Linked DNA regions of Coturnix japonica. The protein of the gene in region 1 interacts with the protein of each later gene in a biochemical or structural test. Links are inferred from orthologs where the notes say so. Each region holds a gene or a part of one and is shown on either strand. Other genes may lie near its edges.

The links.
Region 2: the proteins of SMARCA5 (region 1) and POLE3 form a complex in vitro, tested with the Homo sapiens proteins (2 studies listed by BioGRID). The link is inferred for Coturnix japonica from reciprocal best matches to the Homo sapiens genes SMARCA5 and POLE3.

The regions. Positions count from the first base shown.
Region 1 is NC_029519.1:26,880,351-26,895,622, forward strand, and holds the end of SMARCA5 (SWI/SNF-related matrix-associated actin-dependent regulator of chromatin subfamily A member 5), read left to right. Parts: intron 1-1,023; coding exon 1,024-1,179; intron 1,180-1,291; coding exon 1,292-1,423; intron 1,424-2,157; coding exon 2,158-2,226; intron 2,227-2,784; coding exon 2,785-2,894; intron 2,895-3,163; coding exon 3,164-3,390; intron 3,391-4,516; coding exon 4,517-4,638; intron 4,639-4,718; coding exon 4,719-4,871; intron 4,872-6,267; coding exon 6,268-6,400; intron 6,401-7,071; coding exon 7,072-7,220; intron 7,221-7,458; coding exon 7,459-7,578; intron 7,579-7,825; coding exon 7,826-7,936; intron 7,937-8,455; coding exon 8,456-8,569; intron 8,570-8,727; coding exon 8,728-8,850; intron 8,851-9,000; coding exon 9,001-9,133; intron 9,134-10,101; coding exon 10,102-10,220; intron 10,221-11,302; coding exon 11,303-11,515; intron 11,516-11,947; coding exon 11,948-12,058; intron 12,059-12,979; coding exon 12,980-13,045; 3' UTR 13,046-13,280; downstream 13,281-15,272. UniProt on the Homo sapiens protein: ATPase that possesses intrinsic ATP-dependent nucleosome-remodeling activity.
Region 2 is NC_029532.1:781,479-798,167, forward strand, and holds POLE3 (DNA polymerase epsilon subunit 3), read left to right. Parts: upstream 1-9,122; 5' UTR 9,123-9,192; coding exon 9,193-9,258; intron 9,259-9,333; exon of another isoform or gene 9,334-9,394; coding exon of another isoform or gene 9,395-9,451; exon of another isoform or gene 9,452-9,468; intron 9,469-9,534; coding exon 9,535-9,620; intron 9,621-9,805; coding exon 9,806-9,924; intron 9,925-10,413; coding exon 10,414-10,574; 3' UTR 10,575-11,551; downstream 11,552-16,689. Other genes in the region: RGS3 (regulator of G-protein signaling 3), read right to left, coding at 118-238, 741-801, 1,088-1,156, 1,997-2,091, 2,660-2,718, 3,445-3,495, 6,014-6,125; ALAD (delta-aminolevulinic acid dehydratase), read left to right, coding at 11,718-11,781, 13,521-13,668, 13,829-13,879, 14,995-15,091, 15,580-15,715, 16,084-16,167, 16,397-16,485, 16,597-16,652. UniProt on the Homo sapiens protein: Accessory component of the DNA polymerase epsilon complex. Participates in DNA repair and in chromosomal DNA replication.

The DNA.
Region 1 (15,272 bases):
TTATTATTGTTCCTGTGTCCATGCGCAGTAAATCCAGCATGTGATCATGCTGCTCTTATCATTCTTTCACAGGGAAGGAAATTGGATTTCTAGGTGTTGAATAGTTTAAGATATGAATGTAACTGGCTCCGAATTCACACGTGTGTTTTGCAGCTGTGGCTTTGTCACCTTACATTTCTTTCCATGGTAAAACAACAGAAACAATTGTAAAATAAGAAAGTGAAATGATTCATCTACAATGCTTTCATTTGTGTGAATATATACATCTGGATATAAGTCATTTGTGTTCTGCTCCATACAGTTTATCATATTGAGTGTAACAGTGCTTTTTAAGAGGATTGTGGGTTCTCATCAAGGAATGGTTTCTGAAAATGTTTGTTAACTTAATATTAGGATGGAACAAGGGGGGTTGGTTGGGCAACTAACAAATCCTGTTTGGCTTGAATTTTGTCAATTAGGAGATACTGATCAGCTACTTACAGCCTCACTATTTCAATCATTTGGTTTTTGTTACTTCAGTATCATCAGTTCCTTGCTAGTTTTTCAGCAAAGAAAATTTCTGTTTTGAAGAACATGGACTGCGACAGCACATGGTAGATTTGTCAGCTGTTCATTTATGGAAGGAGTAATTGCTGATTGCATTAAACTTACACTTTTGGAAGCACAATGTTCTAATTATTATTCTAAGGGCACTTGGGTCGGTGTTTGTTGGGTCGGAAATTACAAAAATACTGAGACTTTTAAATAGTTTAGGAAGTCACTGATCCAGATGTGGTACCCTGTGATTTTTGCTGTGTGTCTTGTTAGAATCCCAAAGTTTGTTCTTTGCTGCATTTCTCACTTTGAGTGAGTTAACCTCTTAACAACTGCCTATCCTTGTAATGGTTTATGTTAAATTGACTCTATAGTGTGTGCAAATTTAGCAGCAATGGTTTTATTTGTTTTATATTTAATTTTAGCAGCGTTACTGCTCTGTTTAATTTTGACAAAGCCTCACTAAAGAACTGTCACCTTGCTGTCTAGGCTGCCTTTGTCAGAGATGTGCTGATGCCTGGTGAATGGGATGTTTGTGTAACATCGTATGAAATGCTTATCAAAGAAAAATCAGTATTCAAGAAGTTTAACTGGAGATATCTAGTCATAGACGAAGCCCACAGAATTAAAAACGAAAAATCAAAGGTAATTTATTCTTTTACTCTGTTGCTTTTTTTTTTATTCTTTTTTCTGTGTTGCTAGGTGATGGCAATACTAGTAATGTATTTGTACTCACTGATGTCTCAATCTCCTTCAGTTATCAGAAATTGTGAGAGAATTCAAGACTACAAATCGGCTGCTCCTAACTGGAACTCCACTTCAGAACAACTTGCATGAACTCTGGGCACTTCTTAACTTCCTTTTGCCAGATGTCTTTAATTCATCTGAGGTAAGTCTTAATTGATGTTAGAAAAATTAAGTGACTGGAAATTAATTTTCAGATTTGAAAACATCTCAACGTATGTGTATATGTACTTTGTATTATCAGTTACTTATGGTGATAGATTGACAGTCAGTAAATGCTTCCAATATTGTATCTTATAAGATAGTAGGTAAGCTAATTTTTACAGCTTTGCTGTTTCTAAGGGCTAATGTGAGCATTGCAGATATGAGGTGTCTCAAATTACAGTGTGAAGATGATCTTTACTGTGTTTCACAGTAGGATTAAATATTGGTGTAGCAGTTTACTTATTACATTTAACTGGAAGTTGCTGTATTATTTGTTTCCTATGAGTTGGGAGATACTATGTACTCCACAGTAGACTACACTAAGAGCAAGAGAACTGCATCACAGTACTGTTTAATTACTTCTTTGTAATAAGTGTAGAAGTCGAAGCCTCATGACTTGTTAGATTAGAATTGTCCTTCAATTATATATATATATTATATATATAATATATATTATATATAATGCTTTATATTTTATATATAAAATAAATAATATATATATATATACACTATGTAGTATATATTTATTTTATTTTATTTTTTAACACCAAAAGGGGTTTTGTGATTATTTATTTTCTGCTTAACAGAATGACTTGAGTCTTACCTATTCCCCATTGTAATGGTACTGCACCTTGAAAGAACAGCTCTTACATGTCAGTCATTTTGTTGTTACAGGACTTTGACTCATGGTTTGATACGAACAACTGTCTAGGGGATCAAAAGTTGGTGGAACGTCTCCATATGGTAAGTCTTCATGCTTTCTGTGTGTTACATTTACCTAAGTTAGGTTGTAATTTTTCTAGTACTTCTTGTGATGAGATTATTAAGGTTATAAGAGCTTATTCCAGAAACTGTGTCACGTTTTCAGAAAAAACCAAAGGATGTCAGTTTGTTCAAAATAAGGTAGTTTTTCTGGGGGAGAGAGGAGAGTATATTCTTCTGGCTCTCAAGGTTCTGAAGATACTTGCATTTAAAATGTTAGCTTTCAAGGCACTGCAAAGATTTCAGCTAAGTGAGGTTTAAAACAAAATTACCTAAATGGTCAGAAGTGTTCTACTAAAAGATTGGGAAAACTTCATAATTCTTGTCCTGAAAGTCATGACCTAGAAGATTTGGAGTCTTCCTAGGAAAACTGATGTATGTTCCCATGTATAACAGCCCGCCTATGTTGAGAGCTTTTTCAGATGATCGGGCAATGGCACTGGCATTTGGGTACATAGAGGAGAAAATAACTGCAGTGCTGTTACTGATTGGTTCAATGTTCAGTTTCCAAACTACAGTTAATGATGCTTTCTTTTTCAGGTTTTACGACCATTCCTTTTACGTCGCATTAAAGCTGATGTAGAGAAAAGTTTACCTCCAAAGAAGGAAGTTAAAATTTACGTGGGTCTCAGCAAAATGCAACGAGAATGGTAATTCACATACTTGAGTGTGCTGTGGTTAAGGCTCAGAAGGAATGTGCTGATTGTGGCTCAGTTATTGTGTGGAACTCAATTCCTTCCACTATACTAGATTCTTCTTTCTCTTCTTATGACATTTATGCAGACAAAACTGTGCAGATAAGAGTGAGAAGAGTGAGCTACCCAATTAAATTAAAGGGGGTGAGCTTTTGAATATACCATGTTATTTCACTTTGCTTTATAGTTACTAAAGAGTTTTTTTTTTTCTTTCTTTCATATAGGTATACAAGAATCTTAATGAAGGATATAGATATTTTGAATTCTGCTGGAAAGCTGGACAAAATGAGACTGCTGAATATCCTGATGCAACTGCGAAAATGTTGCAACCATCCCTATCTCTTTGATGGAGCAGAACCTGGTCCACCTTACACAACAGATATGCATTTAGTCACCAACAGTGGCAAGATGGTAGTACTGGACAAATTACTACCAAAGCTGAAAGAGCAAGGTATGCATCACTTCGTTGTTTTTTAGGTGTTGTTCAGTTCAGGTATAAAAATGAAAATCAGAGTCTTCGTGTCTCCTGCACAAAAAGGAGCACGCTATGAAGGATTGTGGTTGATTTCTAAGCATTACACCAGCTTCTTGAGCACTGTATCTTAAATAATTGATAGTGTCTTCATAAATAACTGAGTTGACAGTCCATTACAGCTTTTTGTGGCTCTGAAGGAGGTTTTGGTATGTGTAAGTTTGTTTTCCAGGGAAGCTGAGGCCACAGAAGCATCAGTTGGTCTGGGCTTTAGGTTTGGTTTCTCAGTAACATTGGCTATGTGTAACATAAAGATGTGGTATATTAGCCACTGCTTTGGTTCACCATCGTGTACCATTTCATATTCCAAGTCTTCACGTTGGGTTAAAGTCATATCCTGTGTGCAGTGTTGTTCTTTCAGGATATGACTTTGTACGGCATATGAGTTTTTTCAATGGATTCCTCAAGACAAACATGGAGGAACACGTCAGCTATTTTGTTTTTTTTTTTAATTTTAATTTTTTAAGTTTTACCAGGGACAAAGCTATGGAGTATATTACTGTTAAGTCACCAAAGAAGCAGAGGAAAACTTGTGACTGGGGAGACATTGCTGAAAAACAGAAAATCCAAACCTCAGCCTTAGATAACATAAAAGTCATTTGTGTTTAGTATCCAACGAATATTCAGGTGGAAGATGCAGATCACCACAGCTGTGTCTCTGTCATCCTATTTAGATGTCATTTGAACAGTGAATATGCACTGTATTTAAAGAATAATTGTGTTTAAAGCATTGGGAATTCTTTGCAGTACTTGATAGCAACTTCTGCAGCTCTGCATTCTGTAATATACAGAAGGGTTTGAAGTCACACTGGATTGCTAATTCTTTCACGTTCTTATAGCTGCTCAGTAAAATAGCATATTTTCAACATATTCTATTTTATGTGTATGTATAGTACTGAAAACTTTTTAAATCAGACTTTTAATTATAACTACTGTTGTTCATGGTATATGCAACTGCTCTCCTTCCCTTTCTAATTTGGCAACTTGGAGTGTTTGATGAAGCTTAAGCTTTGGAGAAAACATAAAGGCTTTTTATCCCAAACAGGTTCACGAGTCTTAATCTTCAGCCAGATGACCAGAGTTCTGGATATCTTGGAAGATTATTGCATGTGGCGAAATTATGAATACTGTAGACTGGACGGACAAACGCCTCACGACGAAAGACAGGTATATAAGTATTTCTCTTACACAAAAACAGCATTTATAAAACATTTAGTGCAACTGATGATAATGTTCTCTTTATTCAGGCTTCTATTAATGCGTATAATGAACCTGGTAGCTCAAAATTTGTCTTCATGTTGAGTACACGGGCAGGAGGTCTTGGAATCAATTTGGCTACTGCTGATGTTGTAATTCTGTATGATTCAGACTGGAATCCACAAGTAGATCTTCAGGCTATGGTAAGAACCCAGATACAAATGTTCTTTTTTCCTCATGTAACTTTCTTATAAATGTGTGTGTTATACAGTGGTGGCATTTTTAAGGTTGAAGTGATCTTTCTCCTGTTTTAGCATAGAAGTAGTATTTTGAAGACTTAGTATTCAGTTCCAGTGCAGCTTAGTCACATTTGGGCTATGCAGTGATTCAAGTGGGGGGAAGGGCCATGATACTCCTAGTAGTGTTTAAAAGTAAAGTAAAAGAGGACTGCTTTCACTAAAAACTAAACTAATGGCATGTCTTAATTTCCCAACTATAAACCGTCCTTCTCTGAGGAGTCAAGTTCAATGTACTTTCACTGTCTCCACTGAAACCTTAGAAAAGAGGTGAATAAAAACCTGAATTAGAGTTTTCAGAAATTGCTTCTGGCTGCTAATAAACGTGCAAGCTCCTGTTGGCAACCAACTTTAATTTGCTGTAATTTTCTTTGAAGTAAATTTTTATGCATCTCCGGACATTGACAAAGAATGTTCATGATGGCTAAAGAAAGAAAGTTGGTATTTAAAACCTACAAATGTTAATTGGCAAATGAAGTCTTTCAGTGACGATTGTATGTTCTCAAGTGTTCTAGCAAAAATAGTTTAAGAGAATGATGAAAACAATGCCTGAAAGCCAAAGTGATGTAGTTCAAATTACCACTAAAGGTGTATGTTTGGAATACTAATTCTTGTAGTGGTTAATGATTTGCCAGTCAGGTGAGGTTGCATTGTATTTTTTTATTCAAATACTCATAGAAGGACTGAATGGTTTTTAGAAAGGTAGCTCTTGGTCAGTACAGAGACAATTGCTAAGGTACTCTGGTTTTACAGGAGGTTGCTTAATGCCAGAAATATCCAATCTTCCCCTTTGGTATTTAACCAAAAGAACCCCGGGCTATTTTGAGGAAAATTGTGTTTACAGACTTCGTTATTATTGGGATTACTTTAAAAAAGAAAGAAAGAAAAAAAACAACACCAACTTGAAATGCAAAGAACAGTGTTGTCCAACCAAATGAGAGAGACAAGAGTACCCAAAGTAAGAGTCGAACCAGGACAGTGCGAGGGAAAGTATGTGCTTTTCTCTGCGGTAAGCTGAGATGGCCAGAGGCAGAGAGTGGCTGGGCTCCGCTCTGGAGACCCAGAACATGAACTCTTTAGCTGCCACGGTTCTGCATGATGTTCTAATGTGGAATGCTGATACCAAAAATCACAGAACCACAACACATGCTATCTTGGGTACTCATGCTACTTGGACTGCTATAAAGCTGCAACTAGCCTACACTATTCTGTGTTACAAACTAGTATATTGAAACTAACTAAATTGATGGTAATTATATATTTGGGTTAAAGCATTAAGTTTTTGTTATGTTATTTTGTGTAGGATCGAGCTCACAGAATTGGTCAAACAAAGACCGTAAGAGTGTTCAGATTTATCACAGACAATACAGTGGAAGAAAGGATAGTGGAGCGTGCAGAGATGAAGCTCCGCCTTGATTCCATAGTCATTCAGCAAGGCAAGTATATGGGGGCAATTAGTTAAGTTTGTACACAGGATGAGTTTTTTGTTTTGTTTGTTTTCAACAATTAAAGAAGTGAAATCAAGTGAATGTTAATGGGAATGTTGCTTTTGCCCCAGCTGTACTCTGAAGATGGAGTGCAAAGACCTGATCCATTTGAAAACTTACAACAGGGGTAGGCTTCTCCTCATTAACTTTTTGATTACTTGCCCAGAAATAAAGTGGATATAGACAGATGTCATTTTTTTAAATTATTCTGTTTAAGAAAATTAGTGTTGAAATGGAAGAAGTAAGACCTTGGTTTTATTTAATATGCAGGGAGAAGTGGTGAGGATATAACCTCATACATAGGCTATAATGGAAAGATTATTCAACAAGGTTTTGTCTTGAAATTGTAAAAAAAAAAAAAAAAAAAAAAAGACAAAACACCATCAACCAAAAAAAAACCATGCACCAGAACAGCCAAAATGGTTCAAATGCAACTAATGTACTGTGAAACAAAATGTATGTCATTCCTGGGTAGATTTTGCTGGCTTTTTATTTATTTATTTATTTTTCCCACATGGAATTTCCCTGCATGAGATGCATTTTCAATTTAAGGCTAAGGGAAGGGGGAAGTCTTCTATTGTTCCTCCTTATGTTGTTACCTTCCAATGCTTTTCTCTTAGGAAGACTGGTGGATCAAAATTTGAATAAACTTGGGAAGGATGAAATGCTGCAGATGATCAGACATGGAGCGACACACGTGTTTGCCTCCAAGGAGAGTGAGATTACAGATGAAGATATAGATCACATTTTGGAAAGAGGTGCAAAAAAGGTGAGATAAATGAAGTATTAAAAGCAAAGAAAGGCACTTCCCTGTAAACTTAGATGTTAGGCATATATTGCTGGCTGACAGCTTTATTATAAGCTGGAGAAAAATATGGTTGTTCTTAGAAGTTTTATATTGGTTTTTTTTTTTTTTTTTTTTCCTACTGTTGCAACTGAGTTTTTGTAACTTTTTGAAAGCACTTTTCTAAATTGTTAATATTCTTTTCTCTCTCCCCTGCCCCCAGACTGCAGAAATGAATGAAAAACTCTCTAAGATGGGTGAAAGTTCACTCAGGAATTTCACAATGGATACAGAATCCAGCGTATATAATTTTGAAGGGGAGGACTACAGAGAAAAACAGAAGGTAACCTTCATGTTTCCTTCGGAGGAAAGCAGTGATCTGCAAGATTGTGCCATACTTTAAAATGTGTTGGTTAAAATACAAGAGAACTACATAAACAACTTTGAATTTAAATTATTTAATAAAGTAGATGTGCTCTTCATTTTATATAAAATTAATAGCTGGACTGAATATTATATAGGACTTAGTCTTGATAATTCTTGGGGGTAGTAGGATTTTATTTATTTATTACTATTATTATTATTTACAGATGGCATTTACAGAGTGGATTGAGCCCCCTAAACGAGAAAGGAAAGCCAATTATGCTGTGGACGCTTACTTTAGAGAGGCTCTGCGAGTCAGTGAGCCAAAAGCTCCCAAGGTGAGTTGACTAATATTAAAAATAAATTGATCAGATAGATGTGGGAAGTTAAAGCTGAAAGCAAGAAATTGGCCTTAATTTATTAATATCACTCTGTTTGCTTTCATAAATTGGGGTGGCACTTAGAGGGTTAAATTTTAGAAAAATTCAAAGGATTTGAGAATTTTATATGGGGAAAGAGCAAGAGAGTGATGAAACCTGTAATGTAAGAGTTCAGGAGGGTGAAGACTTGACTTTGCTTTTTAAGTGGCAGTTGTTTTTCTTTACCTATGGACTGTATGCTTATTTGGTGCACGTGTGAGTCTTTTTCCACCAATCTCTTCCCCTGTCTTCTCTTGTCACCTTTTTACTTGCAGAAGTCCTCATGTTGTAGTGGACACTTGCATGGTGTTTTAATGTGACCTTCGTATAAGTAAAGACAGTATGTTTTGGCAAAAATAAAGGGTTTTTTTGCTCACAAACTAAGCTCAAATTCTGGCTGTGAACAGGAGACAAATAGAGTCATTTTATGTATTTCAGGCACCACGGCCTCCAAAACAGCCAAATGTACAGGACTTTCAGTTCTTTCCTCCACGGCTCTTTGAACTACTGGAAAAAGAGATTCTCTACTACAGGAAAACAATTGGATACAAGGTAATAACATTCACTCCTTGCATCAATACATTAGTAGGGTTATACATACTTGTCCTGCCTTTCACATGAAGCTGAACAGATGATTAGGCTGTATTAACGGAGAGGCTGCTAGCGTCTGTGAAAAGTCATCAAATTTTACTAAATGTAAAACCTTTCAGGTACCTCGTAATCCTGATCTTCCAAATGCAGCCCAAGCGCAAAAGGAAGAGCAGCTTAAGATTGATGAGGCTGAACCTCTTAATGACGAAGAACTAGAAGAAAAAGAGAAGCTTCTAACCCAGGTATGGTTGTTTCTTTAATGACACTGACATCATCTAAAGCTTGATTTGTTTTACTGCTTTATATGAACATTTAAAAAAAATTCTGTTAAAACAAATGTGGAGATGGACAAATCCTGAACTTTGCAATGTTTGCTTTTAATTGCTGCAAAGGGATTTACCAACTGGAATAAGAGGGATTTTAACCAGTTCATCAAAGCTAATGAGAAGTGGGGCCGTGATGATATTGAAAATATAGCACGAGAAGTAGAAGGAAAAACCCCAGAGGAAGTAATTGAGTATTCAGGTAACTTATTTTTCAAGCGCAGTCTACTCTGTATCTAATGCTGCTTTCCTAGTTTAAAATGCCTGTGAACATGCTGACCACCTTACTTCTGGGGCTCTTTTAAGTCTCTCGCTGAATTGTACTGATGGAGTTGAGCTCTACTGATACAGATTTCAGCAGGTTTAGCCCCTGCATAGTTAAAGCTGTACTGAGACTTGCACACAAGCAGTTACTGACATCCTTTAATATATTCTAATTGGATAGCGCTGGTTGCAATTCTTACTAAGTTTTACAGAAGGCATTACTAAGCAAAAAGTGTTGTGGTGGAGAGATTTATTTTCACCAAACAATAGCAGTCTCAAATCATTATACCTTTAATATGAACATCCCATTGTTAAAGCATAAGAGCATGTAAATATTGTGACTGAATAACAACCACTGGTTTTGTGACTGAGGACCAGTTGGCCCCTTAGCCCTGGCCTGTCAGAGAAATGCCTTCTGTGGAGTGCAGCTGCAAGGTTCAGCAACTACTGGTATACTGCTGCTGGTGTACATTCTTTTGCACATCATAATGATGTGACATTCTTTTTTTTAAACAGCTACTTGACTTTTAGACACTTGTTCCTGTCTTTGGCTACTTACTTACACTGTCTCTCCATTTCCTTCCCTAAAGCTGTACTGCTATTTTGTCACTTCCAATTTTAAGACTTCTAAGACTTTTTTTTCTTGCTTTGAGAAGATTAGCTAACAAGATTAGACTTTTGGCCTATGTCACACCTCCTTTAAAATGGAGGTTCCTAAATCTACCGTCTTCAAATTAGTATTTGCAATACTGCAACACAATTTCAGGCACCGAAGTTAGCTATCAGGTAAAGGCACGACCTTTTTTATACAGCAGTGAGCTCTGGTAAAATGGAATAACATCTGCTGTCTATTAAGGCTAACACCTAATGCCATGAAAAGGATCTAACCAGTTTTTCTTCTCTTAGCTGTGTTCTGGGAAAGGTGCAACGAACTCCAAGACATAGAGAAGATCATGGCTCAGATAGAAAGAGGAGAAGCCAGAATTCAGAGACGAATCAGCATAAAAAAAGCACTTGACACAAAGGTATCTGTGCTGTATTTCTTGCTGCCCTTATTTCCATGTGCCAGTAAGGTGTGCTCTATCTCTACCCATGTTACCTATGTTATTAGGACTTTAAGATGACATTGTTGGGCACCATATTGCTGTCTTTCACATATTCCTCAGTGGTTGTTACCTTTTCCTTTTCTGTAGAAGCACAGTTCCTTTGCAGTTTCTACTTCTGAATTTAAATGCTTTAGGTGGGTTAAAAGTTCCTGTTTTGGCTGTTAGCTGTGATGATAACCTCAGGTTCAGCTGAGCCACATACCTTACTTTTCCTGTGATTTTGACCATCCTGATCAAAAAGAATCGCAGCCAGACTGGCAGATTTCGACAGTTTTCACATGTAGTGTCCGTTCTGCAGCATGCAGTTATCAAACAAACTTTTCTTAAACTGCTTGTTTAGATAATATTAATAAATTCAATGTCTAGAAAGTCTACGGTGTGGTGATGTTAGAAATCTAGTTTTCTAACATGGTACTGTTCATCTGCTGAAGAGTGAGGAAAACCCCAGAATAAAGGAAAAGGTAACACTTCGCTATAGAAAGGGAAAGGGGGACTTCACAGAAACCAAGACAAAGGGTAACTGCAGATAGTTTACATTAAAAGGGCAGAGTCAGGGGGAATTACAGACACTTAGTCTAAAGAAAACCAGGGAAGATGCCAATGTGTGAGGGCAGTAACAGCAAGAACAGCAAGAACAACAGATAACATCAAAGGTAAACAGAAGAAGAATTTCACCCAAACAACGGCAAAGGGAATGGGGTCACAGGGAATGTAATGAATATGTAACCAAACTGGGGAGGAGACTATTGATTATGTATTAGTTTGACCTATATCTGTAATGCGCTTTTCTCCTTACGGGGCGCAAGTTTGGAGTGTTAACCCCTTGCGCTAGGGCTGTGTGCACATCTCTTTATTAAACATACTTGCTTTATATCCTAACAGGCTATAGAGTTTGTTTCTGCAAATCATTGCCTGTCGTGATTATTTTGCTTTTATAGAAAACAATTCTATGCTAATTCTACACGATTTCTTAGTGTGTATATTTTACTTGTTTCACTTAGATTGGCAGATACAAAGCCCCTTTCCACCAGCTGAGAATATCGTATGGTACTAACAAAGGGAAGAATTACACTGAAGAGGAAGATCGCTTTTTAATCTGTATGCTTCACAAGCTTGGATTTGATAAAGAAAACGTCTATGATGAGTTAAGACAGTGTATCCGAAACTCCCCCCAGTTCAGATTTGACTGGTTTCTCAAGTCTAGAACTGCAATGGTATGTATTAATCTCATGTGCTTCTTCCCTGTGAACACCCGCACCAACACACCACAGTTATGCAGCAGGTGTGTGCATACATACAGTATAGTCAATTTTTATAGACTTTTCAATGATTTTAAGATGGTAAATGCAGTAATCTTACAACTCTCATGGGAGATGAAATTCACATTTCAAGTCACGGCTGTGTTTCACAATAAACATGAACTTGAATTAAAATAGATTTGATTTAAAAGCCAGCGTCAGTGATCAAACCCGTTCCCGTGAAGCCAGATAATGACTGTCATAAAGTATTTAATTCCTTTTTCTGCTCCCAAGGATTTGCATGAAATACAAACAACATACAATTTAGAGGTATTTGTAGTGTTCTGACATGATGCTGTTTACACTGAGTGGCTGTTTAAAGTAGTGAGTGACTGTATTGTGATTTAGGAGCTACAAAGGAGATGCAATACTTTAATCACCCTGATTGAAAGAGAGAACATGGAACTGGAAGAAAAGGAAAAGGCAGAAAAGAAGAAACGTGGACCAAAACCATCTTCGGTAAGATTTAATAAGATGCTGGTTTGCTTTTGGTTGTGCTTTATTTTTTGTGAACCACTTATTTGAAGACAGTTGGTTTTTCTAATTGTATGGGCAAAGTGATATCTAAAATTCCTTTAAAATAGCATCTAACAAAAAGCCTTATAGGGTAGTGCTAAGAGCTGCTTAAAGTTCACACGGTTACTCAGCTATTACCCTTAGTGGATGGGAAATAAAGTACAGGTTCTAAACTGCACCTGGAACAGCTAAGGTTGCCTTGTTTTTTGATGGCTGAGTTGGTAGACCGTATGAGTTTACCTTTATAAAATAAACTTGGGATTTATTTAGCCTTTCCATTAATTTTTACCCATAACAAAATAGATGTTTCCCAAAGCAGGATATGCAGGCAGGCGGTGCAAACCATTCAGTTCACTTTGAGAATGCTACAGGTGTGTTAACAAATTAGACATTAGAGCCTGCCTTCACTCTCTTTGTGTAGAGGCTCCAAGATCTAGATTTGGGAAATCAAGTGCATGTGCTTGATATAGTAAGTACTCCAAAGTACTGCTAAACACACAGGTCTTTTTTTGTAAAAGAAGTAATCACCTGTTTTCTTGCCTGGATTTTGTTGTTAAAATTGTTGCTTAAAATGGCCCATAGAAGTGGTGCCTAGAGCTATTATTCTATAAGTAAGGAAGCTTTATAACATCCTTACTTGTTTCTAAACATTTCTTTCCTCTATGAAATTATGCCCTTCTAGAACTGTTAGAATATAAGACAGCTGCTATCCGGAGTGGGATGTGTATGTCTGCCACATTGCATTTGTGATTTATCACATTTCTAAAGCTGCCCGGGTTAAACCACCTCCATCTGTTTTGGCTCAAAACGTGCTTATGGATCTTTTTCTGTCACATTAACTTACTCGAAAAACTTCCCTTCCAGGCACAGAAGCGCAAAATGGACGGCACTCCTGATGGTCGTGGAAGAAAAAAGAAGCTAAAGCTGTGAATGCGGAAATTTTATAATCACTAAATTTAAAAAGTAGTTCTTTAATTTACGGGTCTTCATAAGATGTACTGTATAATGCTCAACTATTATGTCATTAAAGGACATCGGGTTCATCTGTTTACTGAACTAGAAGCATAGTACTTAATGTAGTTTCACTTTTTTAAATGCGACAGCTGTGCTGACTTTTTTTTACCATTAACACTTGAAATAATAAATAGACTTCATTTATTAATAATGCTTTACTTGGCTATTTTTTCTTTTTTTCCTACCTCAGTACCTGTTATTTATTCGGTCACCTCAGAGTGGCAGGGTTTGTGCTTTTTGTTTAACATCTCACAGTGTTACAAACACTGAACAGGTAAGGTGGGTTCTTGGGTTTGGTTTGGTTTTTGCAGAGCCATCACCAATCAACCCCCCTTTTTGGAATTTCTGTGGCTTTGATTTTAACATTATTGAACCTAATTTATGCACAAGTATACTCTGTACTTTGACATTAGAGGTAATGCCAGGCATTTCACTTGAGAATGAATGAACAGCAAGACAGGAACAAAATCACACTGACTTTTTGCTTACCATTGGTAACAGCGTAAAAGTAAGTGACACTGAAGCTTGTTCTTCCTTAGATGGCAGAAATACATACTTGGTGATAAGATTAATTTTTAACACAGCTTTCTGAAGTAGGTCAGGTAAACTGTGTTCTAAAAGAGCCTGTTTCTTTCTGGTGGAAATGTAGAAAGGTGACTGCAACTACCCAACGCTCTGGTCTTAATGCCTATCTTCACATACCAGAACCTTGAATTTGTGCAGGAAGAGGGGGAGGCAGCCTGACAACACTCTCCCACTCTCTGGGCTGTTCTTGGGCACACTGCTAACATGTTCACCGTGCTGAAGCTGAAGAAGTCACTGAGGTTCTGAACTGGATCCACCATCGCTCAGCCACCGATTTCAGATTCCAGCAAACCAGATTGATACACTTTACGTATTTTCAGTCAATCTGAAATTACTAAAGCCAGTTATTACCTAAGTTGAAGTGTATTTTCCTTTGCACTTCCTGATAGCCATGTTCCAGGACTGTTACAACTAATTTATCGTGGGCTTCAGTACTTCTTACCTATTAATATTTGCACTGACACAGTTCTCACAGTGCAGCTCTAAGTAAGCTTTTTCGGACACTAGAGGGCAACCCACATTCACGTATAAGAAACTACCCACTGATAGCCTACCGGCAGGCTAAACAAAGCTCTTAGTGGAACTGACTTGAGGAATAAAACTCTATAATCCAGAGATGGGTTATAAAGCAGGTATGTTTATTCCAGCGCCGGGTGCAAGGGGGATAGCTCCACCAAACTTGCACCCCGACTTGTAAAATCGTGACACAGATATAGGTACATCTAATACATAGTCAATGATTTCTCGGAATTCTGATACATATTCAATAGTTCTTTAGCATGCAGACCCCCTCTTGTTTTTATCAGGGGGATGCTACTCCTGGTATTTACAATATCTACTCTCCTCCTTGCCTGATGTCTTCCGTGAGGTCTCACTCCTTATCTGCATCCTTCCTGCTCTCCCAGGCCCCTTGTTTCCTTTACTTGTTTTCCTAACTAACTAAATCATTTTTCTATAAACTACCTTTAACTATCCTCCTTTTAGCCCCCCTTTATTCCGAATTCCAGCAGAGCATCTGTTTCCTGATTCACTGTTCATTTGAATTGAAAAAAGGTGATGAAAACCTGCATCTGTAGTGAAGGGTGAAAAGGGCCCCATAATAAAAGAAAGGGAACACTTTGCTACAGAAAGGGGAAGGGACCTCACAGAAACCAAGACAAAGGGTAGTTGCAGATAGTTTGTGTTAAGGGGGGCAGAGAAAAGGGGAATTGCAGACACTAAGTCTGGGAAAACAAGGGGAAGAAGGCCATAAAGATAGGAGTGTGAGAGCAGCCCGAAGGCAGCCTGCAGAAAGGTGATTAGATACTCACAGGGCAAGATGACACTGATGTGGGGGTGCTCCTCCTGCAAGGACAAAGGCTGATAAAAACAAGAGCTCTCACAGCAGCAGGAGGGGAATCTTCATCCCAAAGCGAGGACGGAGAGAGAGACCCCATTCACCAATGGGGTCGCGGGGAATGTAATGAATATGTAACCAAACACGGGGTGGGGGGAGACTACTGATTATGTATTAGTTCGGCCTATATCTGTAACACACTTTGTCTTTACGGTGCGCGAG
Region 2 (16,689 bases), on another chromosome or scaffold:
GGACGCCCACTGACCATAGCATCTAATGTGAAGACACAGACTCCTTAGGGCTGGTGGCTGCACCACACCACAGCAGGAATAGACATGAGTTTAGCACCCCTCCCACACCATGCCAACCTTCGCAGGCTGTTCTGGAGGGTGACGCACCTCTGATCTTCTTCAGCCGCCGTGCAGCCACCTTCAAGTGCTTGGTCCTGCCCAGATCCTCCCCAAGGAGGTAATACCAGCCACTGATCTCCTGCATGGGGGGAAAGAAGCTCTCAGTGTAGGGGCAGGTACTCCATCCCATTTAACTCTGTCTGATGTGTCAGCACCTGCTCTGGGCTGTCCAGGGATAAAATCTCCATAACTGCCAATGGCTAAGATGGAAGCTTTCAATGTGTCAGTGGATCAGCAGACGTCATTCACAGCGGCAGCTTTGCAGCCTCCTTTAGAAAGGCAAAGCCAGCGATGTGAGAGCTGTATTACCCAGCAGCAGCCAGGCCGGGGCAGCAGCAGGGACAGACCTGCAGCAGCTGGGACACAGCGTGGCACAGAGGCACCTTGCAGCACCGCTGCTACCGGGAACATTCTCAGATGTGAACACCCCTATATTTTCTATATTTCTCCCTATATATACAACTTCAAAGTCCTTTTACCCCTTGATGCAAATAGCCAGCTGCTCCTTGCTCCTGCCCTGAAGGTGCACTGCATCCACCTGCTCAACCCACTCCCACACACAGCACTCCAGATGGAGGTACCTTGTCCAGGGTCAGGAGGGACTTCACACCAAAGCTCATGCACCCAATCAGTTTGCTCTGCCTGCAAGAGAGTCAGAGACCATCAGTGAGCAATACCTGGAACCTCCCCCAAGGACCATTGCCACCATTGCCACCAAGCAGCAGCATAGTAGACAGAGGATGTCAAGGGCCGTGTCTCCTCTCCAGCAGTCTGCATGTAGAGCAGCCTGAATTCCCCATGCGCAGCAGACTTGTTGTCAGGTCCTGCTCTCAAGGAGCTCACATGGCGTGGCCAGAGCAGAGGGCAGATGTACTGCAGTGACAGCTCTGTCCTAAAAAGATCAAAATGCAATGTAGAAGCCCCATACCTGCAATCTCTCTCTTGATTCCAGACAGTGACCAGGAGACGTTTCTGCTCATCCTCCTCTTGTACTAGGCTGCAAGAAGCAGAAGGGGAGCCCATGAGCATTCTGCCCAGCAGAGCCCAGCACAGGGACCCACACCTCCTTGATACCAGGTATTCTCCACTCCCTGCACAGGCCCTGCAGCATCACCCCAGCTGGTGTTCCTCCATCAAGGCACTGCTGCACTGATGTACTCATTCCTGACAAACTGCAGCACAGGGATGTGAATTCCCCTAGTGCTCCAGGTGCTGACAACACTGCCCCAATGCTTTAAGGAGGTATCATGCAAAAGGACAACATCCAAAATCAATAGACAAATACAAGGAATAAGGAATTGTGCAAGCTATGAAGCAAACATTCTGACCCAGATTAAATATTACATGAAGATGGAGGCCTGACAGACATGTTTGCTAGCAGTGAGGAGCTGTACTGAAATATTCCATGCCATAGAGCTCCTTTCCCATGCAGAGACATGCTGGATCAACCGGAAATCCTTTTACCTTTCTCCTCCATACCGGTGCCAACACTACTGCAAGCGCAAGGAAATTGAGTGTGATTTCTCAACTCCTGCCCAGCAAGAGTGTCCAACTATGCGGGAACACCACTGCCACATCGTGTGCTGACAGCTTTATGAGCTCTGCCCAAAAGTTCAAGACATTTCAGCTATAAAAAACAGCAGAATAATGCCTGTCACTCTTCATCTCAGCAGCAGAGCAGTTCATGCGTGATGCATGTTTATTACGGATCATAATGTAAAAGCAAACACATCATCTCAGCTTCCAGAGGGTGCCCCAGGACAACAACAACTGTTTCCCCACTGCTCTGTGGGAGCTGGGGGATGAGCCGTAGCCATCCCTGCTCCATTGTACTCACAAGACAAAGTGCTCGTGGAAGACTGGGTTTTTGCTGTCTGGCACAGTCTTTGTTTTCTGTCTGCACTTCCAGTCGGCATCTGGCACAATTGACATCTGCATGGGGAAGCAAGCAGCTCATCAGCCATCTCAAAGTAACACTCAGCACCAGTACAGGAGAGCAGCACAGCCACTGTTACAGGTGGCTGAGCCTCAAAGGTCTGGCTGAGCCCATGCTCACAGGTAGCTTAGATCACTTTACATTATGTATGTCAAACAGCCACGTTACAAAACTCCTTAGAGGGTGGTGGAAGGAAAAAAGCACAATATCAGGGACTGGTGCATGAAAATGGTGCTGGTCAGTCTCTGACTTGCAGCCTGTTCGCTGAGGAGATGCTCGTTGCACTGCACACACCACAGGACAGCCAGGGCACTGCTCCTTTGGTTGCCCAGTGGGCTGCTCTCACCCCTGAATGCCTCTCATAGCCCATCTCAGCAGTTCTCCTTTGCTCTTCTGGCTCTGTGCAGGCATCATATCAACAAAGCCATCATCCCAGCCATGAGACCAGCAACCTCCCCACATGCTGCTCAGCCAGGGTAGGGTAGAGGAGCCCAAGAAGGAAACAGAAGGGATCATGCTTAGAAGAGTCAACACCAAAGCCCCAACAGAGCAGGAAGAACCCACCTTCACATAGGAGTTGCACGGCCGGTGCTCTGTCCCCATCAGACCTTTTGCTTCCATGACTAGAAAGGAAACAAAGCAGTCAGGCCCCAGAGCGTCAGCAAAGCAACTCTGCACCTCCCTCCCTGCAGGACCCCGCACACCTCCCTAGAAGCTCAGCCTTAAACAGGGGAGGGGTTCTGCCATATTTTGTCTTTACAACAACCCTGTTACAAATTCTGGAATTTGTGGGTGAGGTTGGCAGCAGATGCAATGCAGCGCTCAGATGGCAAACAGCATTTCATCTGCTTGACTTGCCTCTGCACTGTGCTCTCAGCCCTGGAGCCAAATGTATCATCAAGTAAAATATCCACGGCCACATCCTGATAGCAGCCCCGCTAACAGGGTCCCAGCTTCGTCCCAGTGCTAACAACAGGGGACACTGTGCTTCCTAAGTGGGAGCTGGAGGCAATATCTGTTTTGCAGAGCCCAGATAATGCAGGACGGGCTGCCAGAGTGAGACCGAGTTCACTCCTAACATGTAGAGAAAGGCAGCAGTGCCTCTGCCTTTGTCAGAGCAGGATGCATGGCCATAACAAGGGAGGTCACCCTGACAGAAACTGTGGTGCACGAGATAGGGCCTCTACAGCACTAAACCAAAGCACTGCTCTACTGATGGAGCTGCTCCCAACAGCCACCACAATGCTGTCCCCTGGATCTGGAGGAGGGAATGGCAGTGCTGTACATATGGAATGTGCCCATGGCTCTGGGGCCACCTCTCCACACACCGTAGGGCAATCAATGCTCACCATGCAGCATCAGGGAGCGGTCCCGCATCTCGATAGACAGCTTCAGCTGACCTGGGAGAAAAGAGAGGAGAGAGAATGAGGAGGTAGGACCCTCATGCTGTCACCAGTGTTCACAGCACCAGACCAGAGCTCTGCGGGGTTCAGACCAGGGTGATGTGGCTCAACCTGAGCATCCTGCTGGGAACCGCTCCCAGGATGAGCCCCACAGGCAGATCCAGACTCACACTTGTGTGCCTAGGACAGCATCAGCTGAAACCCTGGGGGACCCACACTGGCCTCTGAATCCAGACAGCTTCCTGCAGAGACAAGATGGGCGCATTCTTTCCAAAATACACACAGAGGAGCATCCCAAAGACACAGGTACAGCACCCACAGCTGAACACCACATCACCCACTGCCCACCGTGCACACAGATGATGGCAGAGCCAAGAATAAAACCCAGTTCTTACATGTCTATAAACCCAACCTGAAGCTTCTGCTGCCTTTCAAAACTCCCATGTCAGAACCCCAGGCTCCCACTGCTTATCTGGAGCTGCAATTTGTGATTGTTGGCACTGCCCAGACCTGTCTGCAGGCAGCTGATTCCCAGCATTGAACTCCAAGCAGTCACAGAGTATGGGGTTGAGGCTTTGCCATGCCAGCAAAGTGATTCTCCCATTCCCATGCATGAGCAACTCCACATTAACCCTGAAATCCAGCTCCAGTGCTCGGACTGGCACAAAATCTCACACAATGAGGTGTGGAATGTGAGATTCCCAATGAACAACACCCCAGGGAGCTGCTGCCAGCCTGGATGTGATGTGCAGAGTTTAGGGGGTCTCACATTCACATAATTGTTCCGAATCAACTCAAAACCAAAAGTCAAACAGATGGAAAATATCACTGGCAAAACATCTTCTTCAGTCCAAAGCAAAACAGCCCATTTACACTCTTTTCCTGGCATTCAAAGAAACAACAAACTAACTGGTAAACATCACTCATGCACATATAAACATCATTTCAATTACAAAACAGCATTTCATTCGGTCATAGACGCACCCAAGATCTTGCTTTTGCAGGGGTGGGGATATCTCAAGGGTTTAACCTGAAACAATTCACTGAACTCACACCTCACCTTCTACTCAACAAAAACCACCATTGACAGAACACTGTCAGATCTCTCTCCAACTCATGTGCTTGAGTGCTCAGCCATGTGCACTTGTGTACATACACATGTGAATCTAAGGCAAGAAAGACAATTCAGGCCTTCCTCCAGGTGGGTAAATGGATGCATCTTTTTAATCTCACACCAATTTATGACACTGAGAATCTCGAGCCACCAAAGCCTTCAGAGCCAAGACTGAACCCTCTGCAATCTGCAGGTCTCTGGCCCCGTGGGAACCAACTTGCTGCTCCTCTATTAGCATTTAACAGTCACTACAGCACAAAATGCCCATCTAACCAAGCATGACCAGGAGTCAGCCCGGTAATGAATGGATGCTGGGGAGGAGAAAGGAAGCCTTTGTGCCTTGTAGTGCGTGGGGAGGGGGGGCAGCTCGTATGCCCAGCGACATCTCCCCACGGATGGTGGGCCCGTGAAAACAAGTGGGCTGCCAAGACTATAGGATATCCCAAATTGAAAGGGATCCATATAAGGATCACCCAAGCTCATGGCTTACCGAAGGTGGTGAGGCAGAAGGAAGCTCCCAGGGGCTCAGCCCGGCGGGTGCAGAGCGAGACCCTGTGCACATTGCCGGGCTCCATGGCAGGACAGCTCTAATTAGCAGCAATTGCAGCCCTCCCCGTCAGGACAAGGGAAGCTGAATGAATTGCAGCCCGGACGGACGGGCTGCTCAGCAGTGGCGTTTCCAAGGGACACGCTTCAACCGCTGCGTTTGCACAGCGCGGCTCCCATTGGATCCCAGGATTTGAATGGAGGCCGCACCTGTCTGAGCAAACAGGGCCCAGCCCGCAGCGCACCCAGCAGTGCAGCAGTGCACCCAGCAGAGCACCCAGCAGTGCAGCAGTGCAGCCAGCAGTGCAGCCAGAAGTGCACCCAGCAGAACAGCCAGCAGAGCACCCAGCAGTGCATCCAGCAGTGCACCCAGCAGAACAGCCAGCAGAGCACCCAGCAGTGCATCCAGCAGTGCACCCAGCAGTGCAGCAGTGCATCCAGCAGTGCACCCAGCAGAGCACCCAGCAGTGCACCCAGCAGTGCAGCCAGCAGTGCACCCAGCAGAGCACCCAGCAGTGCACCCAGCAGAGCACCCAGCAGTGCACCCAGCAGTGCAGCCAGCAGTGCAGCCAGCAGAGCACCCAGCAGCTCCAGGCGCTGTGCTGCAGCTCACCAGTCACAGAAAGTGAGAAAAAAATACAAAGCAACTGCAAGAATCATCTTTCTATCAACACACACTGACTGCAAAGTGCCCCAGAGACATTTCCAGCAGCACAGAACAGCACACATGTACACGTGTCCCTGTCTTGTGCTCCCTTTCAATGTTTGGCCACTTTTATCAGCTCAGAAGTGACCAAAAAAGACAAGCTGGTCAGGGCCAAGCCCACCTGCTGTTCCCTTTGTCCCATCCCTTACCTTTCCCCTTCACTCGTGCAGGACTGATCTTCCTCCTCCTGCCCAGCATTGCTCCCTGGCTCTGGCAGCAGGCTCGCACTGCCCTGCATTGCACCTCTGGCAGCCCCCACATCCGAGGGCTGTGATTCAGCTGCTTGGTACTACTGTAAAATAAGGGGAGAAAAAGGAGTGGAAATGTCCGAAGAAAGCAGGGCTTCAGCACTTGGAAGTCAAGAATGTGCACGGGGAAAAGGTGGGAGCTGTGATGAATGCTGTGGCTCCGCTCCCTACAGGCTCCCAAAGGCACTTTAGCAGCTCCTTCCCTCCTAACATTCAAACCCCTGGAGTCTGACCTTCACCTGCTTTTCTACCAGAGTTTCCAGCAAACTGCACACTCAGCTGCTTGGCTTGGGGAGTTAATGGCTTTCTTTTAAAGTTTAACACTGTTCTCCGTCACAGATTTCAGTTTGCCAGCACCGGGCTCTGCCTTTGGCTGGGTATTCAAATCCAAACACGTGCTTAGACAGCTTTGAGAGGCTAAAGGGTACCACAGGCACACAGAAAACCTCCAAGGTTACAGCTGGCTTTGAAAATCAAGCAGCTAAATCACATTGGGGAGAACTACCCGCCTCCCCAGGCAACAGATTTTTAGGAACAGAAAGGCTGTTTCTGGGATTAGCAGAGTCTGCCATTAAGGGCAGACACAAAACCTCAGCACTTCTCAGCAATGGGATTGTTTAGGGCCTATGTCTGAAACCCTTCTGCAGGGGCGTCACATGGAGCAAAGCATTAAGTTGAACAGGCTTAAAAAGTTATCACCCGTCACATGAGCTGAGCTGTGTGCGGACTGAAACCATGCTCACACCGAATGGCTGAGCTGACCCCATGCAACTGGGCATCACTTTCTGCTGCCACACCAGTTTGGCCCTGGAAAAATAGGTCTATCTGAGCTGCAACGCAAACAGAAGCGAGATTCATAGCGAAACAAATGCAGGCAAACAGTCTGAAAGGCAAATCAGAGGTTACCCTACAGGTTTCCTTTTCAAAAGTAAAGTGAATTAACGTTCCAAAGTGAATTAACAAAGTTAGCATTAACGTAATAATTGGTGCACACAGCTGAAAATAGCTCCTTAACCTGAACACGTAATTTGTCCAAGTGTCTTTCTTTGGGCAGACAGGGACATGTACTCAATCAGTAGAATTTTTGGATGGCAGTTTTTTGTAGTCAAACCTACTGAATTAGTTTATGGTGAAAGAGGATCCGAGAGAGATCTTAAAGACAGAACAACTGAATTGTTAGACCTTCATCAGAGATAATTTAACCTCACCAGACTTGAGGTCAGGAGACAATTGGGCAAGAGACATCTGCATGCTGTGTGCTGAGCTGGGAACCAGGCTCCTTGCAGTGGCTATTTGTTCTCTAGGGGGATGTATCTTTGGGGGGAAAGGGACTATTCCAGACATTAGAATTAAGTTTCAGGATAAAAACTTAATAATACTTAACAATTTAGAAGATACCATTTGAGGGGGAGGGAAATAAAAGCAATGCTATCTTATTTTCTTCCAAAAATACAAAACAAAGAAATAAAGCACACAGAGCAGCCAGGAACAGTCTCTAAAACAAACCTAAGCCAGTGAAAACACGCTCCTGTGACAACATCCCGCATCACTGAAGTGACTCTGATTCGAGCTGTGTCCTGCTTTCAGCTCTGTGAACATTCACACTCTTCCTGTTTTTCAAGCCAGCACTAATAAAGCCAACAGGACCTGCCCTCGACTCTGGCACTGAGCACCTTGCAGACCTCCCTGACTTGTGCTCACTCATAACTTGCTCTGAGAAGTGGTTTACGGTGGACCCTGGTAGAACTGATGTGGAAGAAGAGGTGTGAATGGGCTCACAAGCCTGCAAGGGCTGAGAATACAGCTTGGCATTACTCCCTGGCCTTTATTTGGGAGCAGAGGAGCTTTGTCTGTCCCTGGCTCTGGACCAACATCATCTCTGCTTCTATTCCAGCCCACCCCCACTGCACAATAACACAAGTTTGCCTTGCTTTGTTCTTAGGTTATGCATATAGGAAATAACCTCGCCTTCTGGCAAAACAGAGATCAACTTCTGATGGCTTTGCTAACAGCGAGCCGCCAGCTGGTCCAGAAGCGGGCATTAGCAGCGTGTGTTACAGTTACAAATGGACCAGCTACAATCGGTCATTATTTCATTAAAAAGTAATGCAACACCTGCTACAGCACTTCACCCCTGAGAGCCGCCGAATGACCCTGCAGAAGAATTGTTAACAGAAGAATACATTGAAGAGTTAGAAACGAGATTTGAGAGCGGTTTGTGTGCGCAACGATAGGCTTTGATTAACACAATTACTGTAAGTGGGAAAGCAATCAGCGCTGTCACGCACACAGTCCTTCCTCCAGCTCTGACCTTTGTGTGTCCGTAATGCTGTGCAGCACCACAACACGTTACTGTGTCCAATACGAGCTGTAAGTCCAGCTATTAATACATCTCACAACTGCTGTGCATCATCCCCAATGCTGCTCCTGCTGCTGGAAAATGCATGTAGGAAAGCCTGCACTGCCAGATCCTGCTCCCAACCTGAAGTTAGCTTAAAAAGTTAAAAGTTAGCTTAAAAACCTGAAGTTGGGAGCAGGATCTGGCAGTGCAGGCTTTCCTACATGCATTTTCCAGCAGCGGGAGCAACCAACCCAGCACAGCACTGGGTCAACCTTCTTCTTTAGCAATAGGGATTAGTGACCAATCTATTGGTTCAGCAAAAGGAATCCATGGGCTGGAAACGTTCAGCTTTAGTGAGGCTGAGCTTATCAAGGCTTTATGAGCAATGGGGGTCTCCTGAGCTGGGGGCAGTGGATGGCAGCGGGTCAGAGCCCTCAATGGTGGGCACTGGGAGCACTGAGCACACAAAGGGCCATCAATCAGCTCATGTTTATGGGAGAAAGATGGATGTGGATGCTGATGTACTGCGTGGTGTGTCCTGTCAAGTCACATTCTATGTGTGGTGAGGAATAACGGAGTGCTGCTTTGTTCCACCACATCACAGTTCGTTTTCTTTCCAGAGGCCGAATGAGCCATATTGGCCCCCCGCCGCCATATTGTTCCCCCCCCCAACGGCGGCCGCGGGGCAGGGCGGGAAGGAGCGGTGCATTGTGGGCCGTGGCGGCGCGGGAGGCCCAATATGGCGGAGAGACCGGAGGACCTGAACCTGCCCAACGCCGTCATCACCCGCATCATCAAGGAGGCGGTGGGTGCGGGACGGGCTGCGGGGCTGGGCCATACGGAGACCTCGCTGTCCCTCATAGATCCTCGTTGTGGGGTTGTGCTGCTCGTAATGCCTTACCTGAGGGCCGTGCTGAGCTCAGTGCCACAGCAGAACCGATATGTGCTCGGAGCAGCAGCTGACAGGCCTGGGTTTGGTTTCCAGCATCAGTTCACGGGTCTTTATTTGCTTTAAAGCATCAGTTCACAGCTCTTTATTTGCTTCCCAGCAGCGATTAACGGGTCTTTATTTGCTTCCCAGCTGCCCGACGGGGTGAACATCTCCAAAGAAGCCCGCAGTGCGATATCCCGAGCAGCGAGTGTGTTCGTGCTCTATGCGACCTCATGGTAAGAGCTTGTTGTGTGTATAAGCTGCTGTTAGTAACTCAGATCTCTGCTGGTTGGGCTGGGGCTCGTTGCTGGGTGTGCATCCATCGTGTATTTTTGTGGCCCCCCTCTGGACACGTTTAGAACTGTAATAAAGAAGAGTGAATGATGGCAGTTATCCATTAACTCTTCTTGTTTTTGAGCAGTGCGAATAACTTTGCCATGAAGGGGAAGAGGAAGACGCTGAATGCTGGCGATGTGCTCTCTGCCATGGAGGAAATGGAGTTCCAGCGGTTTATTGCTCCTCTGAAGGAATCCCTGGAAGGTATCGGCCTGTGACCCTATGGACGGAGCTGCCATAGCACCAAGTTCTGTTTGCTTACATCAGACAAGCAGCACTTAATTGTCTGTCCTGTAAAAACAAGACTTTGCAAAAAAGCAAGAGTTTGCAAATACTTCTTTGCTTGGCATCTTACACTGCAGCTTGTGTGGATGTTAATAATGTGCACCTTAACAGCTGGGATAACATTTCACCACTGATGAGAACTGAGAAAGTCTTATCTGCTATCAGTCCCCTCTTAGGTCTGTGTAAGGGAAGTCGTAGGTGTTGCCTGCACATGTGAAATCCTGTGTCCTATTCAGCATTTATCTGCTGAAACTTCACCTGATTTCTCACGGGCTGGACAGCACAGCTCTAATAATAGGGGGAGCTGCTGCTGTGAGTTCATTAAGTGGACACTGGGCCCCAGCTGCTGTAGTGCTCACGTGGTGGAAACACCGGCTTGCAGGTTTTCACTCTTCTTTTTCTTTGTAGTTTACAGACGTGAACAGAAGGGAAAGAAAGAAGCGAGAAAAGATAAAGACAAGAAGGCAGACTCAGAGGAACAAGATAAGAGCCGAGAAGATGATAATGATGATGATGATGAAAGGATGGAGGAAGAAGAGCAAAATGATGAGGAAGAGGTGGACAACTGAGCTTGCCAATGGGACATTCAGGGTTGGGTTTTGTTACTAGGGATATAAATGTTGTAAAGAAATCTGGCCATGTCCCGTCTGGTTTCCAGTAGAGCTCTGTACTGTTCTTCTGGAATCTCTCTTTGGCTTTAGCCTGTACACAAAGGACTTGGCTAAAGCATTTCTCATGGGTGCCTCACCTCCCTGCACGCAGGGGACTTGGCAGCTTCCCCAGGTGCTGAACAGACAGTAATGGGTCTGGTATTTTTATGCTGGATTGACTCTGAAACAAAGGGAAAAAAGAGCAATGTCGGATGGCTCAGCACTGAAGTGACCTGGAGAACCTGAAAGAGCTTATGAATAAGCTCACTCAACCAAGCGGAGAGCTGAATCCTGGCTCATTAACCCCTCAGGGTTTAGAGTCTACGTGATGATGTTGAGAGCCTTAGAAGCTGACTGTTCAAGCTCTAAGTGATGTTTTTCCCTTCGTTGTCTTGCATTCTGGCTGTGCCTTCTCTCCCCTGCTCTTTCACAGTGATGCTCTTTCAGCCTCACCAGCTGGATGCAGCACACAGTACGAGGGTCAGTGAGCTGAATTCCTCCCCTCCATGAACCAGAATAATAACAAAAAAAGACTTGAAGGTGCTTCCAAAGTGAATCTATACCAGAAATGCTGTTTTGTGTCTTTCAAGCCCTTGGAGACAAAGAGGGAACTTTGATGAACGACCTTAAGCAAAGCTACCTGCAAAATTATGTCCGAGGAACAGCAAAAGGCTGCAGCAAGTGTGTGTTGTGCTGCAGCTGATGGTCTCAGCTCCTTCCCCTCCTCTGTGGAGCTGCAGCTCCTGCAGACAGGCTGCTGGGTGCTGCTGGGTGCTGCATTACTGGTTTCCTTCTATGTCTGGGGGCTTTATTCCATGTTATTGAGCTTTCTGGTACCTGTTGGGGTGTATCCCGTCCCGGACCAGGATTTAAATAAAAGTTCAGATTCTTTACGGGTCTTGACTGGTTGATTTCCATGGTTAATCCATGAGCTGTTCGTGGTGTGAGTGCGTTGCGGTTCAGGTCACACAGCGCCCACGAGCCAAATTCCCGCCACCGGGAGCGCGCCAAGACAAGCGCGCGCCAGCCCTTTCCCGCGCTCCGCCGCGCGAGACTTGTGATATGCAAATCAGGGGGGCGGGGCTATGCAAATCTGGCTGTGTGCTGCGGCGGGAAGCGGCGGCAGGTGAGCGCGGGGTCGCGGGTCTGAGCGCGGTTCGGCCGGTGCTGCGGGGTTATTGCGGGGAGTCGGGCGACACCGCACCGAGAGCGGCCCGCAGTGCCCGGATCGGCACGGAGCGTTACGGGGCCGGGAGGTGTCCATAGGGCCCGGCCCGTTGTGGCGGTGCTGCTCGGCCCCGGGGGCTCCGTCACCCACGGGCTCGGCGCAACCGCAGCGCCGCCGGGCGGGGGAGACGGTCGGGCGGGTGTCGGGGTGTGCGGGGCCCAGGGCGGCATCAAGGACGGACAGACCTTGGATAGAGCCGGGTTGTGCCCTTGGGACCGGGCGGGCACCGGGGGTTCGGTAACGGCGTGTGGCTGTGACGGGCCGGGGGGAGCTGAGGGAAAGATGTGTCTGGTTTGAGGTCCGAAGGGAAGAACACGTGGGGAAGGCACCGAGCAGAGAGTGCTGCCAACTGCTGTCACTGCATGTGTGAGCACAGCGCTTCCACATCCTATCTGCAAGATAAAACCCTTCTGAACACGTTGCCCTTTGTTGCTGACTGCTAATTAACCCGCCCTCATTAGTGTAGCTCCGTTGTGTCTCCTGGGAGCTCAGCTTTGTGCTTCAGCTGTGGGCGATGCCCCCCATTCCCTCCTTGCTGCCCTTAGAGCAGTGGCAGCATGGAGCAGCTTCCCCTATGGGGGCCCAGGGGCGGGGGTCCCCCAGCAGCGCTGTTATCTCCTCTGGACAAGCCGTCCCCGCTCCTGCAGTGCAGGCTGGGGCTGGTATCTGCCCCTGACAGCGCAGTGGGAGCTGCTGCCTCTGCTCCCAGCCATCCCCCTCCGTGGGATCAGAGCCTGGAGCATGTTCTGGACTCTCGAGGTGTCTGTGCTCACTGAGCCCTTTGTTCTGCTGCCTGGAGCTGCGCCCGGGCACTGCCGGCCTCCCAAGGGCTCTGCTGTGTGGGCATGGAGCGGGTCTGGGCCAGGACACAGCCTGTGTGTTCCACACTGTGAGCATCATCATGGTGCTTTATGGTCCTTTTATGTCATTGTGTAAGTAAGGGAGAGGTTGCTCCATCCCCAAGCCAGGGATGCACACAGCTTGGTTCAAGTGGGAGAGTCTGGTGCAGCTGAACAACTTGGCTCCGTGTTGGGATATTTGAAGGGTCTTTGAGCTTCTCCCAGTGTAACACATAGGAACGCCTCCAATTAACGTTTCCCGGAGGAATGGAGCCATGTCCTGCCCAGCTCTGCTGCTGAGCGTTGTGGTGAGGGCAAAGGGAGCGTGGTTTGGGTGAGCCAGGGCTTTGCTGTTGTGAAATGTACATGTAAATTGCCCAGTCACAAGACTATTAGTGAGGTGTGGAAGAAGAAAATACTGTTACGGGCACGTCCTGTGGCTGCGCAGGGCGGTGTGCAGCCTGCAGCTGATGTTAGCAGAGCAGGAATGGCATTTACTGGGTTATGGGGCGGAAGCTCCTGCTTCATCCCTGCAGCCTGGGAAGCAAATGCTCTGGGGAATGCAGTGCAGCTCCCAGCCGTCCAAGCAGAGCAGCATGTGGGGCCATCACGTTCTTTTTTCCCCATCTCACAGTCACCAGTTGAGCAGCAGCTGCGATTCCCAGTGAGCAGGGCTCGTTTCCTGTTCATCTCAGGCTGGTAACCTCCAGGGCAAGGATTTGATCTAGACATAAAGCAATAAAAGTCCTTCAGTGGCAGCCAGCCCCTGACCTCCTGCTTTTGTTCCTTCTGTTTCAGGGTCTCTCTTCACCACCTCCCTGTGCATTCCCAGGATGCAGGCAGATTCACTCCTTCACAGTGGCTATTTCCACCCCGTGCTGCGCTCGTGGCAGTGCACAGCCACCACCTTCAATGCCTCCAACCTTATCTACCCCATCTTTGTCACGTGAGTGAGCCCTGGTGCTCTGGACTGGGGACAGACCAAGCTGGGGTTGGCTGGGCATAACACTACAGGACAAGTGTGGGGCAGGGGCTGTGCTCTGGGCCCTGCCCATCTCCCTTCTGACACCAAGTGCTCACATCTCTGTCCCATCTGCCCTCTGCAGTGACAGCCCTGATGCGGTGGAGCCCATTGCCAGCCTCCCTGGACAAGCCAGGTAAGGGCCAGAGCCACCAGGAGCTGCTTTGCAGCCAGAGATGTGCACAAGACAGGGACAACACTCCTGTATTGTTGTACATAATCCCTGCCCTGGGGATCCCCCCAGCATCAAGCAGGGTGGAAACATCCCTCTGCTCAAAGCAGGAAGGAGGACAAAATGGGGGAGCTGGGTGGTGCCAGGGTTCCATTGGGCACACAGAGAAGCTGGAAGAGAACAGGGAGGCCAACAGCAACTGCATGTGGACTCCTGTCCTGCATTCAGCCTTGCATGCTACGTTTGCAAGGTTTGGACAGAGGCCAGAGTGGGATGTTCCCAGGGGCAGGGTGTGCTGGGCAGGTTTTCCACGTCAGCCATTGCTGTTGGGCAGTGGGAGGTGGGTCAGTGTGAGAAGGGCTCCTGGAGCTTGGTGAAGGCACACAGGACTTTGTTGCTCCCAGCTCCTGATCTGCTGGTCCTGGGCACTCAGCCATGGTTGTGCAAGCAGAGTGAATAAAGCAGAGCCTGCACTCTGTGCTGTGCCAGGCATGGTGTCCAGCACCCTGCGTGCTCTACTGAGCCCAGGCCTGGCATGCTGAGGGCTGTAATGGGAAAGCTGAGATAAAGGATCCAAGGGCAGGGCACGCTCATCCTTTCAGAGCAGAGACAGCGTAAGGCTCCCTGCTCTGTCCCTGCCTGTAGATAACTGTGCTGTTGCCCCAGATAAGGGTCTGGATTGTTCCTTCCAGCAGCACCTCCCCTGTATCTCCCACTGCTGCTTGGTGTGCGCCAGCATCCAACTTAATCATTAACTCGGGTCCATCCCTGAGTGTCCCAGCAGGCAGGGCCTGGCCAGCACTGGTGCACTGCTCAGGTCAGAGGGCTGCGTGCTGGCACTGCGTGTACTCATGGTATATTTGCTGGATCACAAAGTTGCTGGTCTCAAAGCAGAACAGACTGAGGGTACTCAAGTTGTTGCTTTATGCTGCTGAGCATCCCTGCCCCTGTACAGCCCCCTCTGCCTTGTGGCAGTGATGCAGGGTGTCCAGGTCAGCCTTAATCATGGCTCCTGTCCAGTTCATCCCCCAGGGCAGGTCTGGGTGCCTGGCAGCACACCTTCACTTTGGTTTTCTCAGGTATGGAGTCAACAAGCTGGAGGGGATGCTGCAGCCCCTTGTTGAGGATGGTCTGAAGTGTGTGCTCATCTTCGGGGTGCCCAGCAAGGTCCCCAAGGTCAGTGTGCATGAGCAGGTGGTGGCAGGGGTCTGCAGAGCTGTGGGGGATCACTGTGGGGCTGGAGGGTCTCCCAGTGAAACAGGGGCAGTTTGGGGTTGTGGCAGCCCATTCCGCAGAGCAGGATGTAGATGGGAAACCACAGCAACACCCAGAATGATCCCAATAGGTTTGGGTGCCTCTGCTATATTTCTCTGTGTGAGTGGTGAGATGAGAGCAGAGAGCTCTGCGTTTCATAGAGCAGCATGGAAGCTTGAGAAGTGCTGCTCCTCCTGACCCAGTCTTGCGCTGGGAGCCATTGCAGAGAGGCCCCAAGATCTGCACTCATTTCAGTGTCACTGCTCTGTCACCCTTTTCCACCACTGGTGATCACACCTCACTGCAGTGTGACAGTGTGTTCAGGAACACTCCCTGTGTTGACCTGTGGCCATGGAGGAGCTGGTGGGAGGCCCTCAGCTCTGTGTGCTCAGACATGTTTCTTCTTGCAGGACGAAAGAGGCTCTGCTGCAGATGCAGAAGACACACCTGCCATCCAGGCCATCAGGAAGATCTCTGCCACGTTCCCACAGCTGCTCATTGCCTGTGATGTCTGCTTGTGTCCTTACACCTCCCACGGGCACTGCGGTGAGCACGTATGGGGGGCTGGGGTGCTGTTCAGGCACCTTCCTCTTACCTGGAGCACCTGAGGGTTTCTGCTTTCTCATGTGGATTTCTGGGTGCTGGTGGGGCCTGGCCAGCACCTGCCTCAAGACTTCCCAGCACTGTGTTGAGCTTGGATCCCCCGTCACTGTCATCCTTTTCCTGGAGCACTCACATGTCAAGTCCCATCTGTGGGCACTGCATTGTTAGTCTCCTGCTCAGCCCCTCTTTATCCAGCTCTAACACCTTCCCCACTGTTGCTCTGAGCATCTCTATAGCTTGTTAAAGAACTCCAAGGATCAGGGCCATCATCTCACTGTTCTGCTTCTTGCCTGACGCACTTTTTCTTCCAGGCATCCTGCGGGAAGATGGCACCATCCAGAATGAGGCCAGTTGCCAGCGGCTAGCAGAAGTGGCACTGGCTTATGCCCAAGCAGGTGAGCAATGCCTCGCAGCAGCAGCCACACAAGGCTCTTGTCACTTATAGCCAGCCCAAAAGCAAATACCTGGCTTCAATGGGAGGGCTTCCACTGATCTGGGGAAGCATCCACCTGCCAACCCTGGAGGAGCTACGGAGACTCTGGACACCTTCAACAGTACGAGGGAGATGCCCAGGGTCAGCTCCTCCTGCAGGCAGTTACAGCCTTGAGCTTGTTATCTCCGCAGGCTGCCACATCGTTGCCCCCTCGGATATGATGGATGGGCGCATTGCAGCCATAAAGAAGGCTTTGATCTCCAACGACATGGGAAACAAGGTGAGAATGTAATGACAGAATATAAACCAACTGTAGGAGGGGATTCCTACCACCCTCGAGCTATGATGCAGCAGAGAGCTCCAGCCCTCACAGCCCCGCTCTCATCTGCAGGTCTCAGTGATGAGCTACAGTGCCAAGTTTGCATCGTGCTTCTATGGACCCTTCAGGTGAGGTTCTACAGGGATGGGAACAGCCCACGTTTGC